Neodiprion lecontei: one gene and its partner. The protein of the gene in region 1 purifies or fractionates together with the protein of each later gene. This does not show direct contact. Links are inferred from orthologs where the notes say so. Each region holds a gene or a part of one and is shown on either strand. Other genes may lie near its edges.

What was found. The genes of interacting proteins can lie anywhere in the genome.
Region 2: the proteins of kinesin heavy chain (region 1) and fasciculation and elongation protein zeta-2 purify together in Drosophila melanogaster (affinity purification with western blotting; 3 studies listed by BioGRID). This does not show direct contact. The link is inferred for Neodiprion lecontei from reciprocal best matches to the Drosophila melanogaster genes Khc and Unc-76.

Annotation. Positions count from the first base shown.
Region 1 is NC_060261.1:40,098,139-40,105,507, reverse strand, and holds the start of kinesin heavy chain, read right to left. Parts: upstream 3,956-7,369; 5' UTR 3,535-3,955; coding exon 3,376-3,534; intron 2,264-3,375; coding exon 2,122-2,263; intron 1,540-2,121; coding exon 1,366-1,539; intron 1,247-1,365; coding exon 978-1,246; intron 907-977; coding exon 660-906; intron 589-659; coding exon 352-588; intron 41-351; coding exon 1-40. Other genes in the region: uncharacterized protein LOC107220248, read right to left, coding at 7,192-7,303. UniProt on the Drosophila melanogaster protein: Kinesin is a microtubule-associated force-producing protein that may play a role in organelle transport. Milt and Miro form an essential protein complex that links Khc to mitochondria for light chain-independent, anterograde transport of mitochondria.
Region 2 is NC_060265.1:20,723,234-20,729,614, forward strand, and holds the start of fasciculation and elongation protein zeta-2, read left to right. Parts: upstream 1-2,163; 5' UTR 2,164-2,341; coding exon 2,342-2,447; intron 2,448-5,238; coding exon 5,239-5,491; intron 5,492-6,381.

The DNA of each region.
Region 1 (7,369 bases):
CCACCAGGAGTTGCTGGCACGGGACCATCGTCAATTTTGGCTGTTTTAACGAGTGAAAAATTTTCAGTAAGAAACTTCTGCAGCTGCATACTTTATAATCAAATAAGTATGAATATGCTTACGAAGACAAAAAAAAACTGCTAGTACACAAAACTGGCATTTTATATGATAATGTATTTACAGGATGGTTATTTACTGTCTTACCCATAATTTCGCCAAGTGTTCATTCTTTTTACTTAACGTGTATTTAAACTTGATTATAGTTATGAATATTCATATCACTATTGGCAGGTAAATTGAATGGACATTCATCACAATTAATCAGAGAATTAGAACTAAATGGGTTCTTACTTTCAATAATTGGAGCGACTGGTGTGGTAACATCAGGACCTTCGACAAGACTGACTTGTTCTTCGACCTTTACAGTTTCACCCTGTCGCCATCTGGACAGTTCGGCTTCTAATTTCTCCACTTTTCCCTTAAGTCTTGCCGTTTTTTCCTTCTCACGTTCGTATCGTCGTTTCCATTCTTCAGCAGTCAGTTCCTCATTAACGCAAACAACATTCTTGATAGTCTTTGCACGTTTACCTGAAAACGATGTGAATTATGAGCAAGTGCAGAAGGAATTTATAACTAAAGGGGTGAGTTTTGTTACCTACCAAAGTCTAACGTAGACTTGGTTTCTGATTCGTTAAAGCTGGCAGGGGAACAGCAGATAATAATGGTAGTTCGGGCATTGCCTCCCAAAGATTCTTGTAAGATTCTTGTTAACTTCGAATCTCGGTAAGGGATGTGCGTTTTGTTGCCATCAGCGAGAGCAGATATGACATTACCCAAAGCAGATAGTGATTTGTTAATATTCTTTGCCTCGTCTAGTACGGTACCTTCAGCACCAGTTTTAGAGACCTACCCAGAAAAATATTGTGATTATTCAAGATCTACATCATGCATGTTGCAAGGCCTATTTTGAATCATACTTTTTCAGATCCAGCAAGATCGACAAGGTACAATTTGCCGGAAAGTTTTTTTTGATTTTCCAGGTTCTCCTGCTTTACGTTTATTAGGAAAACGGAATGTGATCTGGAACTGTGTTCATTCATGTTTGTCACAGCGATGTGCCGATTCGATTTTCCTTCTTCAATAACTTCAAATACTTCTTCGGGACTTGAAACAAATCTTTCAGTTGCTCCTTTCACAAAAGGTACACGATTTTTGTCTTCATGAACACTAAGGTTCACCTTAGAAACTGAAAAGCATTTTAAATATCACAAACCATTCCCGTGAAATGAAAATTAGATAAAAATTTATGATCTTTTTTGTTTATGTAAGACAAATTTGTGTTATAATAATGTAAAGCAAAATTACCATCTAAAAGATCTCGAATCTTGTCCATATAGATTTCAAAATATGAGACCTTAATATGAAATTCAAGATTTTCTTCCATAGCATAAATATGATTGAATATATCATTAACAATGCGAGGAATAATGCCCTGTTTGTTTGGATCGCCGATGACTCCCTCCATTGTGTGGGTTTTTCCTGAAAAATTATCAAAAATTTCATACATTTACGCACACAGAAAGCACGAGTTTTGATACCGCACAACAATTGTGTTTTCTCAACAATAACAGATAATAAAAACAATATTACCAAAAAGAACGAAATGAGTATGTAAGCTTGGAGCTTTGTCATGAGTGTTAAGTTACTAATGTTACTATAACAATGCATGTTTCGGAAAAATCTTTACTTTGCGCCTTTAAAAATACCTGACATTTAGTAAATCGTGATAAAGAAATCATACTCTTATTTTGCAAAGTCAAGTCCGTGAAATTCATTTCTAAAATTGCATGATAATGATTTTTTTCTCGATGTTTCATTACATTAACGTTATCTATTTCAGTCTGATACTTTAACTTGGTTCGACGTTGGTGTCACTTGAAAAAATTAATTTCAATCGAGATGTGAAAATGTACACGTCTTAATTTTTTCAAAACGCAGTAAAATTTTCGAAGTACAATATGAAATTCCAAAATGTTGTAGCTATTTTCGAAATCTGATTACTTCTATATATATTACTCTCGATTGAAAATTAGAAGCTAATATCATTTTTTGATTATCTACCTGATGATGTTTGCCCATAAGCAAAAATTGTCCCGTTATATCCGGCCAGGACATCGGAGACAATCGACTTTGCAGCCTCATTATAAACTTTCTCCTGCGTTGCATTTGGTTTGAATACTTTGTCAAAAAGGTAGACTTTACCCTGTGAATAATCCATGCATCTCATTAAACGATTAAATTTTTTTCAAAAGTAAATACAGAGGTCAAAGGTAGTCATGAATCTTTTTCATATTACGATTAGAGGAATCATTACGCAATATTTAGTATTTACACTGTCCTGAACAACACGTGATTTCAGATGTTCAAAAGACTTGGTATTTCATTATAAATAAGAGATTACATAGTCAATTCTCTTAAAATATTTTATTTTTGACTCAGTAGATTAACTTTTTATCTCCAGATTTGGAAGATCTCTACCACAGTTAAAGCAAAATAATTCCACAATAGTGTTTCTCAAACATCATTATATTTGAGTACGTGAACTAAAAATAAGGCTTCTGGTACAGTTTATGGCATTTTTCAATTAATTGAGCCTAGCTAAGTCGAAGATCTCACATTAGTACATCACAGCTAAGGTTCACTGTCCATTCCAATAATGAATTTATTTAGTCTGTCGGTGTGATTGTAAGTACTGCGAAAAAGGTGTTTGCCATATTCAAAGACTGAACCCTAACTTCTCTATGGTAAGTATTAAATGAGAAAATGAAGGAGCCTGCTTTCTTCATTATCTCAAGTATGTGATCTCATGTCAGAGATATGTGTATTGCAGGTTTAATTATCAATTAGTCAAGGAGTCGTAATCACGCCTGACCAATATAGGTACATGTACTTTGGTAGGATATATTCCTACATCTACTTTCATGACATACATTTGGGTATGCATCAGAATATTTGTCTTCACAATTTTTCAATACATTGTCGACACAATGAGAAATAAATGGGCCAACAGGGGAGGAGGTCAGTTCAAAGAGAATACAAAGCTGAAAGAGAAGAGACTCTTGAAAACTGTGAGCAGAATCAAAGCTTATAGTTATTCTTGGGGGTATGAGAATGGATTTTCAGACACTGGCTATTGTTGCTTGAGTTTATACTTTGACGACAGGTATTGTTTTATTAGGATTATAATACAATTAGACAGCTGTCAGCTGAGTTCTGTCATATTATTAACGTGTGGAAATATAACTTTTTGAGGTTAACGTATGCTCCAAGTTGACTCTGATTAGGTGAATTATCGATGATATTTATGAGACGTACCCCAATCGAAATACAGTTTTCCTCTCCGCCGGCTGGAAATTTGACAACGAATTTCGACCCAGCCTTTTCTTCGGAGTCATTGAGCGGTCGAAAACGGCACACAACTTTAATGCTGTCTTCGGCAGCGATTTCTCGCTCCCTCGGCTGATCGGTGGCCATCGTTGTTTATAATATTAATAATCTACACGGTAAGAATTGCACTTAGTTAATTTAATTAGGTGCTCCAAAACCTCGCACAAGTTGGGGAATGACTGCGGAAACTGCATTAAGACACCGCTGTCAGATCACGGCCAGTGTTCAGCAAAATGGCCGACATGTATGTGGGTAGCTGGTGACGATTTCGTAGAAATAAGGAAAGGAATACTTCGCGAAATTATTTTAACACCTCGGCTAGACTGTCGTAAGGTCGCGACAGGCTCTACGTGTGTATCCGCACCCGTATAACGCCCGAATAACTGTACTGACAAATAATTACGAGGAAGTAACGCTCGCCGTGAAAAAGTAAGGAAAAATGAAGGGAGCCTCCGACGTGACGGAGCCGCGGGCAGCCATGCGCGACCTGCCAGCCTGCCTCTTCTCGACGGCCGACGACGACGTCGCCCCCGCCGCCGCCCCTGCCTGCCTGATCCCCAATCCCCATGCCCCGCCTCGTTCGGGGCCCTCGCCCCGCGACCGTAGCTAAATTATTGATTTTACCAAGTTTTAGGTCTTTTCCTATACGCAGCTTCCACCGCGTTACATACGTATTTTTTTGTAAATTATAGACCTGTCGTGTTTACCGGTCAGAATTCTGAGCCTGTAGACTAGATACATTATTGTGTGTAACATGCGATATGCACGATACGTAGAAACATGGTAAAAAGAAACTAAATTACTGATGAATTGAATAGAAAATTACGCGATACCCTTTGTTTCCTTATTTCTAATCGACCAACAAAGCGTTGTGTATATATATATATATAAGTGTGTGTGTGTGTGTATATATATATATTTAGTCTTTTTTAGCGTAACTAGTGTAATATGTATGATGGGTTGCTGTAATTTAGATCAAAGGAAAGAATCCTGCCAGCAGGTAACGCTAGATTTGCGTAAGCGTGCCGGTGTAAGGATTTATTTACATAATCCTTTTTAGTCATGTTGAATAATAAATATATTATAGATCTCGTGAAGACCGCGTATACGTTGAAAACCTCCCCTATATCAATATCAAACGTCCTCTACCGGGATTGTGTGACCTCAATGTTACACTAATTTGCACTCTTGGAAAGTATCTTGCATCTTGTATCTGCTATCTAGATTCCTGAAACCCGCTATTTGAATCTGAATTTTCTAACTTTACACCCTTGAGCAATGTATGGGAACTGTGTTTTCAGATTTTAGGTTAACTGATCTGCAAAAGTTTATTCATGTCACAAATCTTGAAAGGTTCACAAGTGCTTTGATATTAATGTCTGTTTTCTATGAGTATCTGGATATAGATTAATAATTCAAATATCTATCTCAATACTATAAGAAACCATAGAAAATAATGCATATGTACGCATAATTATACATATAAGTATAACCGACAATTTGCAAATGTTAATTTATATAACAATGTACCCATTGCTACATAACATTTGTACGACAAGTGTAATTTGGAACTAACAAAAAGTAGTGAATGTATGAATTCTAAAAATAGAGTTTGGGTAAGCAAACTTCTATGTTAGTCATACAACATAATTTTAGGTTCAGGAGAGCATTTAAGTTGCTGATTCATTGATATCCTCAGCATGGTGTGAACTGTGCTCGAGATAAAATCTTTCTCATTCATAATAACCAACAGTCTTTCGAGCACACATTTGTTTGATAAAACTTACAAATATTCTCCTAAAGTGATGATTAATGTGCTCATATCCGATTTGTCACCCCATGAATTTCATTTGCTCATAATTTTCAATTTTACGAAACCAAGTTATGATAAAAATTTGTCAAGTCCCATAAAATAGTAAATACATACCATTAAGATACAATGAATTTTTGACTGATTTTCATTGGATAATTGATGCTGCATAAAAATTGCATTATATTCACTGGTTGAAAAAAGTGTTGTCTTACTCAACTACACAATGACAAAAAAGGCATTCTTCATTCATTTATTTTTGTTTTTTTTGTAACAAAACAGAAAAAATGTTTCAACATGTTCATAGATAAATGGTAATAATAATAATGATAATAATAATAAAAGTTGTACTAAACTAATATAATTTACTATAATAATTAACATATCGGTTATTATATGTATAAGTATAATAGATTAGATTGTGAAGAATTTCTACGTAGTAGATGACTAGTTTTAAGACTGAATGCATCACAAAAGTGTGCCATTATATATAATAACTTGAAGAAGTTTGACTGCGCTTGAACGTTTCAACAAAGCTGAACATTATTTAGAAGCACGATCACAGTGAGCATTGTCAAGTAAGTTATGAACACTGTTCACAGAAGAATCTAAGAAAGCAACGATAAGAGGCTCGACTTGACCAAATTTTTTACAAGATTAGACCTTATTTTTGAACATTGACACAATAATACAGATTGCCTCTATGGCCGCACTTATTATATGTGCTCTGTATCGACATGTGAAATCGAAAAAAAATCCAAAATCAGTAAACTGATTAAAACGACCATTCACTCCATTTTCCGAGTTCATCTGTAGGTTATCATGCTTTGATAGGAACACATGAACTGGAGGAAATCATGCTAATGAGTTTATCTGAAAATTTGAGAACAAGTTTGAGTTTGGGAGTTTAGCCTCCTGTCCCTACATTTTTGGAAGAACCTCTAGAGAGAGCACATAGGATACCATCATGTGTATGAAAGTATGCCAATCGAGATCGTACTAACTGCGAAATGTTCAACTCGAAAACTCTTATTTACCGTAATAGCTTATCTAGATGCCAATAAGTGCTCTTAATCTAATTGTGTAATATTTCTCGTTCCAGGTAGTCAGTTAATCGCTGTGTACTATTACAAGTATTCGGAATAGGTTTTATATGAAAGGCATCACAGTCATGCATGCTGATTATCCAAAACTAAGTTGTACACATCTGTTTGATAGAGAAACCGTACAGCTATTAATGTGTTATGTAAAATTGACTATTTCATCATAAATGTTTGCAATTGTTTTGTTTACATACTATGCACCTATATATATTGCCGCTTCGAAATTTGTATAATGCAAAAATGATAATATCCCCAATATACAACCCTTGAGGTCATGTTCCACAAAAGGATATACGAAACAAGCCTAAATAATATTTAAATAGGTATAAATTAAATTTCGTCTCTTCCAAATCAGCGAGTCTAAATAAAACACTGCATTTTGGCTCACTAATGACTACTCCGATTGGTGTAAATACAGAATTTCAAACTGCTATATAATAACTGACATTAAACAAATGAGTCAGTTGGTGAAAGTAATAATCTTGTAGAAGAACACCATCGCTGACAATAAGATAAAATAGTAAATTTCTTCAAAACTTATTGGTCATCGTTCTTATCTATCTGATTTAAGTGTCCGCACGGATTCAGAGACACGGCATAGATAGAATGCATAAAATTTTGTCTGTGTTTATCAATCCCATCACAGACTTCGTTTGTAACAATCTAAGCATTTCATTCTTTTCAATTTTGTTATGGATTCGCAACAGTTGTATTTGTCTTACTTAGTTTATACCTGCTTCTCACTATAATAGAACCTAGCTTCATTAATTTTATATTCGTAAAATTTATCAAAAGGTAAATAAAGCGATATTGGTATATTCCAAGGGATGCTTACTCGATTCCAAAAGTATTGGTTTCTTCAACAGCAAGAAGCAACTTTTCATACAAAATTTCTGGTGTTGGGTAAGGCGGTAAGTCCAAGCGATTGAAACAAGTATGCGCTCTGAAAATAAACGCAGAATTACTAGATATAAAATCGAGGCTGCCGCAAGTCGAAGCATCACTTCAA
Region 2 (6,381 bases), on another chromosome or scaffold:
ACGGCAGTCAACGTATACAGCAGTCCTGCACCTTGTATACATAAACATATCATATAATTATTTGTTACTTCACCACATCATTGTCGGTAGCTGATTTGCGTAATCACTACATTTAGATACAAAAATTACAACCTACATGTGAGCTAATGTAATTTTATGCATTTACATACAGTTATTGCTGTGGACAGATTAATCCTCATGTGGGTTGCAATATTATCCACATGCATTTTCAATTATGTGCACGTCAAAATCTTTCAGAAATTGTCAGAGTAAAGAAATTTTTCGTTTCAAGTTGTTCTGAAAATAATCTTGGAAGTATAGCCTTCTAAATATTCCTCAAAACCATACCTAAATATCACCTTTCCGTCGAAATACAGAAAACTAAATTCGCGCCATAGGAATTTAGCGCCTAATAGCTGCTGACTTAACATACGTACCGGTACGGCGGGTTTCTGAATATAGGCGCCATCTGCCTTGCAGCTCACCGCCGGTATAGTTCTTGTCTTACCGACAGATTTCTGACAAGTCGGCTGAGCATTACAATTTTCGGTCATTCATTTACGCTTCAGCTACATGCTGTTAGATAGAGTCGCTTATTGACTAGTTTACCGCGGTGACATTTCGGTATAACGTTGCCCCGCGATTATGATATAAACGATGCTTCCCTAATTTGGTTAAAACATAAATACAAGATGTTTCGGTAGGCGAGTCAATTATTCACGTAAATAATCCGATTAACTATTAAAAAGTGCTGATGGATAGTTCTCAGCATTCGATATCAATTTTTCGCCTCAATATGCACCCTATTCAATTATATTTCCACTCACGCAAAGCACAACTTTGGTTTAAATCAAGCTGGTAAAACCAGAAAAAATAGTTCTACTATATTGGGTGAAATTGTTTATTCATCAGAATTTAAACAATGACAGTTCTACGTATTGCGAAACGGAAAACTTCGCTAATTATAAGCGACGTTATTTACGAAACGCTGTTGCAATTTGCAAGGGTTCGAATATTTCATTTTTTGAAGTAATCGGTACATCGTAGTATAATTAACAAAATTATGCCCAATTAGCCTTCGCCTTGCGCGAACGCAATATTATGTCAGTGGTCTTCGTTCTTTAATACACTTATGCACTCTCTGTTTCTCTGCGGTATACTTATATAGAGCATAGGAAAAATATAACTGGTTTGTGTTACGCTAAGCTTTGCACGTGCAACAGCGAATGTGAAGATTTTTTAAATATTGATAAACGAAGCGGTGAATGCGAGTGGAATGGTGATAAAAGGTATAGTGTAATTTTATTTTTATAAGTAATCATTTTGAATTCACATCAAATGGTAAAAAAATCGGCCCCTTATAAAGCGAGAACTAACGTTTCAATTATAAGCGCCATAGGCAGAGCAATGAATTTATATTGGCTATTGTCTTACGTTTCATTACGTGCGCCATTCGGCGATTTAATGTAAAGGTAAACATCGTCGACAGTCATATTGCGCACGATTCAAACGAGAAAGTTTCAACCTCATTTTGAAGCGTTCTAATTATAATAATACGCATATAGAACCAGCTTTGCACGAATGAAACTCAACTCGGTGTTGACAAATGAAAAAACGAAAAATACCGTCATCAATTCTATATCTTTATTGGCCCCTCTGGGACTTTACAATTTCCCTGAATCTTAAACTCTTTTACGATCTATATTTTCAATTCTAACTTAACAGCTTTAATATTTCCAGTACCACAATGATTGACTAAACAAAAAAAGAAGATCATAAAATATTTTTAGCGAATAATATGACCGGAAAAAAACGAGAATATAAACACAAATAGAAATGAAAATGAAAAGAATACGTTGACCTGCTTGGGAAAATTAACCGGATACACAAAGATTTTTGCACGTGAAAAATGTAACGAGCACGGAAGAGAAGGGCGGGAATGTTGTCTCTTGATACCTTTCGAGGTAATCGTAAGAGTTGATGTCGGATCGAAAGATATCTACGTATAGGTATGTATAATCGGGTAATCTTTTCGCGGAGGAACAGGAGAGCGGTCGTCAGGGAGGCGATGAGAGCCCCTCCCGTTACTCGCGTCGTGTTTCTCCTGACGGTCGGCATGGTAACGTCGAATCATCTGCCCCCCACTCCTCGCTCCAACATTCTCTTCCCCTCCTTGATTCAGTCGCCCTCCGAACGTCGGAGGAGCAGGATTGATACGGTCGTCGCGTAGGCTTCTTCTCCTCGTCCCTGTGAAAAAAAATACAACCTTACTTCAAGCTGAAGTGATTGTGTCTCTACCGGTGGCTTATCTCCCTGTCCGAACTGTGCCAAGTGGTTTATCATGAGGGACATGGCTGGTAAAATGGCCGAATTAAAGTTTGAAGCACCCCTGGCTCGCTTCGAAGAGGAGGAGACGTCCAGCCTCAAGAATATCAACTTGCTGACAGGTGCGGAATGGTCAATTTTATTTTTTCTCTCCTGCCTCGACCCTTTTCATTCCCCCCCTCCCCCCTCCTCCGCGTGTAAAGCGGCTGCTGACTGAGCTGAGCGGGTATTTGTTATTGTTCGCACTTTGCGTTGTTGGTTTGTGCTGAAGAATGAACTCCGTTTCATATGAGGCGGTAAAAAATCTCCTCGCGATCGGCTTTTGTTTCTTTATTTCAATCGCTTGAAGCTAGCCGCGAATCGCTATCCCCTCGACATAACATTCCCCGAAATGGACCGAAGTATTTATGAACAGCGACGATGCTGGTAGCTGGAATGAGGAAAGAAAGAGTGGAGAGAATGTTGAAAAGGATATCTTTTCGTCGCGAGAAAAGGATAAACGCGGTAGGGATGCGCCAAGTGATTCGGGGTCGAGAAGGGCCGAGATTCGAGCACACATCCACCTTTCGGAAAACCTTTTTAAAACAAAGTATGATCGGTCCGTGCCGCAGGTGCCGGCAGGTTGGCAGCGGCTACCTTGAGGCGCGCGATTTCGGTGAATTTCTTTAACATTTTTACGTTATGGTTACCCGCAGATGTGATCAGGGAGAATTTTACCGAATTTAAATACGATCTTCTTACGTTTATTTGCTTACTTTGTTATTTTTATTGTTGGACGAATACCTCCGTGAACTGACGGAGAAAAGTAACTAGTAGACGTGAAGATTTCACGAGACTGAAGTTAGCAACGTTGGTTAACGTATGAAAAACAAAACATTGCAAAGAAAATCTGTGGTGTCTGATGAGAATGACTTGAAATAGTTTCATTGCGGCTTACATGCGAACTGAATTTCGGAGAATTTTAAAATTGCGAAATCGCAATTTTTCGTTATAGAAAACGCGACGTCACATTAAGGTTACGAATTCGACCGCCTCGTGAAGTTTTCTGAACACACCCGATGGACACAAATTTGGGAAACGTCGAAATCCTTGGGAAAGTTGGAAAAAAATATGGAGATCAAAGCGAGGAATTCATTTTAATAATAATAATGATATTTATTGCGTTAGTAGGACAATTCCTTCTTATACACATAAGACAAGCAAACAGAACGAACCAACGGTCGCAATGATAAGATGCGGAAATATACACATAGAAGAATAGCATGATAGATAGGAAAGTTGAAAATAGAATAATAAAGTAGAACTGAAGACAAAAATATAATACGAAATTAAAAATAAATAAAACGACAGTAAAATGAATAAGATGTGCAAAATAAATGAAGTAAATAATATTGGCAAAAGTACGAGTACAATAAATAAATGAAATAAATACTGTGTATAGCGTAGAAAATTAATTATCTAGAAATTAAAGACATCAAATTCATAATTGCATCAAAGTATTTTTTATTACTACATCAATTGCGGAAGAATACAGTTTCCACTTTTGCTTCTATATAAAAAAGAATCAGAGAATAACCTGTGATAAAATTTTCGTTCCAGATTTTGTCGATCCACACCCTGTCAACTGAAACTTTTTATGTGAAATAATTTGCGAAACTCCGAGGTTTCGAATTATCTTGTTATACATGACCTGCATCCATAGTCAACACCATCCACTTATCCGCTGCTTATCTTACAGCCACGTAAATTGAAAAAAATTTCATGTACACGATACACAAATTCTATGGTAATTTATTCGTCCACGTTTGTTAATCACTGCGTCCGCTTACATCGTGTCACCGCAACAGCTATTTTTCACTTCTTCACTACAAATAGAGCGAAATTATCGGTTATATATCTACACACACGTGTACACCTAGTTACACCAGCCCGATGAAGACAAAGAGATGAGTCGCCTTTTTGATTGTATGTACCGGACAGCTGAAAAATGAGGCAATTGAAGGGGGCGACTCATTCATTCCCCGCAGCAATTGCAGCAGCTGCAGCAGCAGCAGTAGCAACACCACTAGAAGCAGTTTAAAAAAGAATGAGAAAAATTTCGTTACAATTAACGGTACTTCGAAATTGCGAGCATGATCAAAAATAACAGTAACGCACGATAACTTTTCTAGCTACAGCTGAAAAACTAATTTTCATTTTCGTTTGGTTATGAATAAAAAAAAAAAAAAAAAAAAAAAAATAGGTAGATACTGTGCAGCAGTAACCTGCACACACCTACGAATATCTCTCGTCGTATGTCACACTAAAGTAAAACTAAAGAGCTTGACCTATTCATAGCCACTATTGTGGGTCACGGTGAGGAGAGCTGAAACTGGGGATGTAAATCTTATAGTATATCCGTTGAATACACGCGCCTGTGAATGGAACCGCGTATTTTTTCTCGGCCGCCTTCCCTCGGGTTATCGCCGCTTATCGCAGGGCAAACGACTACGCATCCTCTCCGGTAGTCTAGCGTGTAGATATAAGGTACGTACGTACTTACGCATGCTGCCTCTGCATGCAGGCTGCAGCTTAAATGCCGCCGCCGCCTGTTTGTGAGAACCGGACGGCGCGAGCCGAACACATTAACCTTTCGTTCCTGCTCCCGTTTAATCTACGCCTTTAGTGTCAACGCCTACTAATCGTCGTCGTAGCGATAAACCCTTCCTAATGTAAATCCCCAACTTGTCAGGCATGCCCTGCCGTTAAATATAATATAGAGATGAGATCAAGACTTCAATGAGAAGACAGATTCATTGAATTCGTGTGTAGAATATGTGTAATAATGCACGACGGTCAACGACGATTCCATCCATGCTCACCTAAAGTTTCACCTAAGTTTCACATGAATGTCACTTTCTTCTTATATTGCAGAGCAACTATTGGACGCGAGTCTTGAGGCGAATTTTGGCGAAAATCGTAACGCCAACGAGACCGGAACCACCCGTGGCAACGGTGTTGATATTCTCCAGGAAGGAACGTTCAGTCCGTTCAGCGGCAGTCTCGAGGATCTCGTTAATACATTCGACGAAAAAATCACATCGTGCTTTCGAGATTACGGCACCGATGTCGAGTCCCTCGCCCCGGTCCAAGTACGAACGCAAGAGGAGATCATGAACGAATGCCAGTAAGTAAAAAAACTTGCAATTTTATCCTATCGCATCATAAAACATCATGCAACACGTTCATCGTCACATCAAGGTGTTCTCTCGATTCTTTTATCCAAAATCTTTTTTCTGAGAAACCCAATTTTTTTTTCACTTTCTCTTATCGCTCTAATCTGTGTACAATATGAGTCAGTGAGTCAAATGTGCGAGGGTGGATCCTACAACGGATGACTTCATTGCAATAGCTAAGCCACACCGATCGTAAAATTCGCGTGCCAATATGGAATTTATATAATAAACTATAATACTCATATTGTGTACATATTTACTCATATATATATAGATATACATATATATATATATATATATACACATACGCTATATTAGGCGAGAAATGATCTACTCCAAAAAACTCGGTAAAGACGATGTATACATACATATATATATATATATATATTATACAACCTGTCCATTTGGAATTAAAATATTTATACGATGCGAATTATTCCTCCTGATGTTTCGCAGCTGTAAACAAGGTGCGATATTTTTTTCCGTTTATGTTATGATAATGATAGTCGCGGACTTGATGTTGTCGGGTTTAAAATGGGGTTAAAATTAAAATCGATGGTATACCGATAGACTTTGGTAATGAACAATATTTTCTAAAGTGTTACGCATCGCTAATCTCGCCCCTGCGTAATGCGATAATGCAAACCGTGTATGCGGACATTATTCACTCGACTGTACGGGCTTCGGCTTACAATCAGGCTAGCTATGTACGCGTGTTTATACATACACCGTGTTGCATACACTTCACTCAGTACATAGGACAAAATCTATTCTTTATATGTGTATACATACATACATATGTATACGCAAAAAGATATTTTACGGCTTGTTGCGTTCCACC